2 linked regions of the Tribolium castaneum genome follow. The protein of the gene in region 2 interacts with the protein of the main gene of each other region in a pairwise test. Links are inferred from orthologs where the notes say so. Each region holds a gene or a part of one and is shown on either strand. Other genes may lie near its edges.

Evidence for each region. The genes of interacting proteins can lie anywhere in the genome.
Region 1: the proteins of follistatin (region 2) and Trx2 interact in binary tests that used the Homo sapiens proteins (3 or more experiments, as listed by UniProt). The link is inferred for Tribolium castaneum from reciprocal best matches to the Homo sapiens genes FST and TXN.

Annotation. Positions count from the first base shown.
Region 1 is NC_087401.1:17,531,617-17,534,414, forward strand, and holds Trx2 (thioredoxin-2), read right to left. Parts: upstream 1,347-2,798; 5' UTR 1,209-1,346; coding exon 1,185-1,208; intron 1,071-1,184; coding exon 927-1,070; intron 867-926; coding exon 717-866; 3' UTR 501-716; downstream 1-500. Other genes in the region: myelin regulatory factor, read left to right, coding at 1-29; transmembrane protein 53, read left to right, coding at 2,244-2,452, 2,507-2,714. UniProt on the Homo sapiens protein: Participates in various redox reactions through the reversible oxidation of its active center dithiol to a disulfide and catalyzes dithiol-disulfide exchange reactions.
Region 2 is NC_087396.1:21,200,822-21,204,897, reverse strand, and holds the start of follistatin, read right to left. Parts: upstream 2,801-4,076; 5' UTR 2,509-2,800; intron 1-2,508. UniProt on the Homo sapiens protein: Multifunctional regulatory protein whose primary function is to antagonize members of the transforming growth factor beta (TGF-beta) superfamily including activin, myostatin, GDF11 or bone morphogenetic proteins (BMPs).

The DNA of each region.
Region 1 (2,798 bases), on a different chromosome or scaffold from region 2:
TCCATTTCTACCGGCACTGTGATGAATAAACGATACGTACTACTCAAAAAAAGGAAACTAAGAACAAGAAATGCATGACATTTATTTATTTACGTGTTTTTTTTTAAATATTATATTTTTTTAATTGTTTTATCAAAGTGTTCGATGTTACTACAGCATCACCTAGTTGTAGAAGTACCTGTATCTGAAAGATTTGAACACTTTTCTAGTTAGTGTAAAATGAAAAAGCACCAAAAAAATATTGTAGCGTTTTTAGATTATGACTCATATAATGTACTTAATTTTCTCGTCCGTCCAATAAATTGTATAATGTGTAGATTAGACTTTTATCGTATTGTAAAATATTTTTCTTGTTTGACAAATTTTTATTATTTTATAGAATTAAAAATATAAATGAACAAATACTAGTTTTAGCGTAAATATCATGTATTATTGCAATATTGTTTTATTTTTTTGTGATTGTGTAAAATAAATTGTTTTTTTGATTTAAAAAAACGCAGTTTTGTTACGTTTTAATGACTTTATTTTGCTTTTACATCATTTAAGGCGCTACTTGGTGAATCTCAAAATATACAACAATTCACGCTTTCAAATACAATTAATATAAAAAATAACAGAACCTACGCATTGAATCAAGAAAAATGCTCGGATTACAATTTTTTTTTGCAAATATTTGTGTTAAAAGTACATGAAAAAATTAAAGAAAACGAAACAATCTACTTGTTCTCCACTACCAACTGTCTGAGCTTTTCATAGTTGGCGCCGCTGAACTGCGTGATCGTTTGACTATTCTTCACGAAAACAAAAGTAGGCATTGACGAAATATTATATTCCATCGCGATATCTTCGCATTCGTCCACATCCACCTAAAACAAAACACGTTGACAAAACAAACGTCAAATAGATACACACACACAGCCGCCTACCTTGAAAATGTGCACGTTTTGGAATTCCTGAGCCAACTCTTCCAATTTCGGCGAAATCATTTTACATGGCCCGCACCAAGTAGCGAAGAAGTCGATGACGACAAGTTGGTCGCCGGCATCGGTGAGCTTCGACACAAGGTCGGCCTGTGAAACAAACACTCTGTATATTAAATTTTTTGTTCCGGCTAATCGAAGGTCACGATCTGTCAAAAATCTATTGCGTTTCCGGAAAATGTGCCACGCCCACATGGGCCTTACCTTATCGTTGATGTGGGTGACCATGGTAAGGTTACGATGGGCCTCCGCTGTTTGATGGGTCTTTTTCCGCCGAAATGGGCAACAGAAAGGAATGATTTGAAGATGGACGACAACACTCGTACAAATGACTTGACACAATGCCACTTTGTTATTTAAATGCGCATGCGTCACCTAAACTTTGCTACGATTGGTGGGTCCAAGGTCAAGGGTTGAGTGATACAGGTCGGACCATGTGAGCGATTTTATCAAAATTGTAAAAGAAGACCTTTTGTTGGACAGTTTCCACGCCTGGAAAAGTCCGGGGTGTCTTCCTGGCGCCACTTTTGCCGTGTTTTTCGCAATTCGGCGCAATTGTCACACCTGACCCAAGGCTTGGTCTTAGTCATGTCGTGACCAAAATTAAATTTTTACGTCAGTGTTCAATTCAATCATCAATTTTGAGAATTTGGTGAATAAATCACGAAAATAATTCGGTTAGAGTGATTTTTTATTTTTATGAAATCAATAAAAGCGGAATTTTATCAAGCAACCTTCGAATAAAGGCACACGTGACTTATTATCGGTCACGTGGTATTGTAATTATTACGAAAAAAAGTGAGAATTTCATTATTTACATTACTCATTATTTACTCAGCGGATTTGAGTTGAGATCAGACGCGCTTATCTCTTATCTATGTAGTGAAATAATTGTATTTTAATCTATGTTTAAGTATTTTACGATTTTTGCAATAAACACTTGTCCTTGGTGAAACTAAATCACAACAGGACTAAAGTTTTTTAGAAATCGTAATAAATTGTTTGCAATGGCCAAAAACTTGCTAATGTATATGCAATCATTTAGATTATTATTGAAAAAACTCCACTGATATGAGTAATGCATAACAATTTAATCTAGAACTGTTTGAAAAGCGCTTGAGTTAGTCGAGAAATCGTTTAAATTTGGGAAAGTATATGTAACCAACAATACACAAATTGTCACTGACGTCGTCCCCCACGTCACTCAGCTTCGGCGCCGTCATCCACGTTCATTTATCGATCGATGCGCACCGTTTTTGAAAAATGGCCGGTGCCGCCGATCTCGACAATCTCGAATATTACATCAAATTTCCCAGTCCAAATTTTAACTACAGCCAACCGAATGGCACCGGAGAAAGTGACTACGTTTTTGTCGTCAATGAAGAAAAAATCCCCGTTATCCTACTTTTCGGTTGGGCCGGATGTCAGGATAAGTATTTGGCCAAATATTCGCAAATTTACGAAGACCGAGGGTGAGAATAATTTTTTGATTTTTACAAAATTTCAATTTCCATTTTTTTTAACAGTTTGATAACTTTGAGATACACCGCTCCGGTGAAATGCCTCTTTTGGAAGCGACTGCAGATGATCACGATTGGAGAACGACTCGTTAAGCTTTTGGTTGATTTAAATTTTGAGAATCACCCGATTATTGTGCATTGTTTCTCAAATGGGGGCGCTTTTCTGTATCAGAATTTCACGCTGGCGCTTGAAAAGAGCCCCAAACCGATTCAGGTAAAACTTTCCATGTATAATGATTATTCATGAGATACAAAAATAAGCCTTGAAATGCTGTTAACTTTGCCATAAAATGTTTGT
Region 2 (4,076 bases):
GAAAAAGAATCAAAATCAGTTCTAACTAACTAAGCTGAGACAAGACAAGACTAGAACTGGACAAAAGAAACACTAATAATTTGAAACATTACACTACATTATACTAAGAGATTGAAAAAATTTTAAAACTGAAATACAAAAAAAAAAACAGTGAGATTAAAAATTTTGTAGTCATAAGCTAAAACACTATAGACACTATCAAGAAATTGAAAAACTGAAAAAAAAAATTGGAAAATTAAGCTGAAATACTGAGAAACCTAAAAACTGTGTGATTGAAAGAATGGAAGCCTTAAAAGCAAAAAATCTTCTGATGAAAAACCAAAAAACTATTAAATTGAAAAATCAAATCTAGTGTTTTTAAACTAATTACTAATGAAAAAATTTAAAAAATATATTAAAAAAAACTTCAGTATGTTTAAGACACATTTAGGATACAAGTCAATTTAGGAATCTAGGAAAAATAAAAAGGGCGTTAAATATTTACATTTTTAACGAAACAAATTTAATCCGAGTTTTTTCAGTGCCGGTCTTTAGTTATAACCGGACTGTAAAGGTAAAATGAAAAAAATTAAAAAAAAAAAACTTAAAATCTGGGAACTGGGTTATTTGAAAATTTTTGCAAACTATACAAAAAAAATCTGAGTATAAAAGTCAAATAAAAATAAAAATACAGTGAGTCCGGTGATAACGAACTCTTCAAAAACGAAAATAAATCAAAGTCAGTTCTAACTAACTAAATAAGCTGAGAAACTGACAAGACTAGAACTGGACAAAAGAAACACTAATAATTTGAAACATTGCACTACATTATACTAAGAGATTGAAAAAATTTAAAAACTGAAATACAAAAAATCCAAAAAAAACAGTGAGATTAAAAATTTTGTAGGGTCATAAGTTAAAACATTATAGAAATGCAAAGTAAGAACATTAAGAAATTGAAAAACAGAAAAAAAAATAGAAAAATTGAGCTGAAATACTGAGAAACCTAAAAACTGTGTGATCGAAAGAATGGAAGCCTTAAAAGCAAAAAATCTTCTGATGAAAAACCAAAAAACTATTAAATTGAAAAATCAAATCTAGTGATTTAAACTAATTACTAATGAAAAAATTTTAAAAATATATTAAAAAAAACTTCAGTATGTTTAAGACACATTTAGGATACAAGTCACTTTAGGAATGTAGGAAAAATAAAAAGGGCGTTAAATATTTACATTTTTAACGAAACAAATTTAATCCGAGTTTTTTAAGTGCCGGTCTTTAGTTATAACCGGACTGTAAAGGTAAAATGAAAAAAATTAAAAAAAAAACTTAAAATCTGGGAACTGGGTTATTTGAAAATTTTTGCAAACTATACAAAAAAATCTGAGTATAAAAGTCAATTAAAAATAAAAATACAGTGAGTCCGGTTATAACGAACTCATCAAAAACGAAAATAAAGTCAGTTCTAACTAACTAAATAAGCTGAGAAACTGAGAAGACTAGAACTGGACAAAAGAAACACTAATAATTTGAAACATTGCACTACATTATACTAAGAGATTGAAAAAATTTAAAAACTGAAATACAAAAAATCCAAAAAAACAATGAGATTAAAAATTTTGTAGAGTCATAAGTTAAAACATTATAGAAATGCAAAGTAAGAACATTAAGAAATTGAAAAACAGAAAAAAAATAGAAAAATTAAGCTGAAATACTGAGAAACCTAAAAACTGTGATTGAAAGACTGGAAGCCTTAAAAACAAAAAATCTTCTGATGAAAAACCAAAAAACTATTAAATTGAAAATTCAAATCTATGTTTTTAAACTAATTACTAACGAAAAAATTGAAAAAATATATTAAAAAAAGCTTCAGTATGTTTAAGACACATTTGGGATACAAGTCACTTTAGGAATCTAGGAAAAATAAAAAGGGCGTTAAATATTTACAATTTTAACGAAAGAAATTTAATCCGAGTTTTTTAAGTGCCGGTCTCTAGTTATCACCGGACTGTAAATGTAAAATGAAAAAAATTCTTAAAAAAATCTGGGAACTGGGTTATTTGAAAATTTTTGCAAATCTAGGTCTGTCACTTGTTGGTTGAAATTATTTAGTTAGTGAATAAAGTGTAAATTTTTGAAAAAATATTTGAGCAGTTGGTTAGAAAAAAAATTTAAATATAAAAATTAACTGAAAATAACTGCATACAGTGAGTTCATTTTCTAGAAGAAATGAAAACCGAACTAATTTCCAACTTCAACTTTAGAACAATATTTATATTCAATACAGAATTTAAAATTTTTGTAACTTTATTGCAATAAAAATAATGTTTTTATTTTTCCTGCAGTCGGAATTAATAAAAAACGTACCCCAAATTACCCCACTTTCTCGCCACTTCCGAAAAATCCGCTGTCTAGTAATCAAATCTGTATATTTTTTGACCTTGGTGTCGGTAAGATTAGTTGTTGTTGATCAAAGTGTGAATTTTGGCGGGAATTGAAATTTTCGAAAATAGTAAATTTCGGACTCACCAGTTTCGTGTTGCTGTTGAATGAAGGCATCGCTGGTGTTACATCACTTTCGTTCCGAGACGTAGTGCGTCGTCGTCAGTCAAGAGACAGGACTTGAAGGACCTCTGCGAGCGCGTTGCAAGTAGCCAAGGCAGCCACCAATCGACTGAGGTACGACCGTAGCCTTTACGATCCAAAAAAACTCCCGGCGGGGAATGTCTAAGTGAAGCAGCAGCGCTGCCACAGCGAAGCCGAGGCTCGCTCTCCGACAGGTGAGTGCACCTGCAGATGCAGCGACGCCGACGACGACGGAAGGGACCACCACCTGGTGCGCCGCCTGCTTGCCCAGGGGAGGAAACGAGGGAGCAACAAGTGGCGGCGGCGCGCACCATGTGCACGACTTATTACATTTTTCCACTTTTCTGTCACCAACTCTCATATTTGTAGATAAATGTTTGCAAGTGTGAATTGTATTATGTATTTATTATTCGATTGTTTTGAATACATGTATTTGGAAACAGTTCATTTTTGTGGTTTTATTTCATCACATTTTTACTCCAAATACGAGAGATTCCTGAATCATAATCCAGTTCTGATTCTGAAACTGGCTCCGAGTGTGTTAGTAAATTTTACTGCTAATCAGAAAAATAATTCTAACAGGGAAAAAACAAATTAATTTTTATTATATCGTACTAAATACATTTCAATTTGATGCTTTAGTTTCTTTTTAAATTTTTACGCTGCAAGACAAAAAACTAATTAGAAAAAATAATTTCCAAACTAACTGCTATCTAAAAAACACTGCTTTCGTCTTTGCTAAGATCGTGAAATTAAAGATAATTTTGAGCTAGATCTTTTATTTTAGGTGTTATTATCAAAAATTGGAACTAAATAAATAACGTATTGATCTGATAGCAATTTACTTTTAAGTCTGGAGATTTTCCTCTCTATATGGACCAGAAATTTATTATTCAAATAGCAAATTTTACATTACATCAAGAAAGCAAACTCAAACAAATCACAAAGTGGAGAAATCCTTGACGTAGACTGAACAAAAACTTTTTTATACCGTCTGTTCAATAAATACTAAAACTGAAAGATATAGAAAAATCAGAAAAAATCATTAGGAAATCAAAAAAAAATTGCGGAAATTTGGTGTACTAGATTCGGGGTGCGAATGCATTAGCTGATGTTTTTTTTTCAGTGTTAAACTGTGTTAAAAATTATTGAAGGAATATTATGGAAGGAGACATTAAAATAGGCAATTTTTTGCGAAAAAGACACAAAAAATATCTAATTATTTATAACTAGACAGTAATACTTTTTATTTCTTAGGCAGATTTAGTCTCCGGGCCTCCATGAATATGCGGTATTTGCTCATCAATGAGAAAAAAAAAAGATTTGTCTGATAAACAATTTTTTCAATTATTCAGCATTAATTTGTGTTTTACCAATTATATGTCAAGTAAATTTAGAAAATTCCATTCTAAATATAGGTTCTCCTAAAAAATGTAAAATAATCAAATCTTCCGCTCAAGGATTTATCAAAACTGATGAAATGTTTATGAATTTGTTACAAAATTTGAATG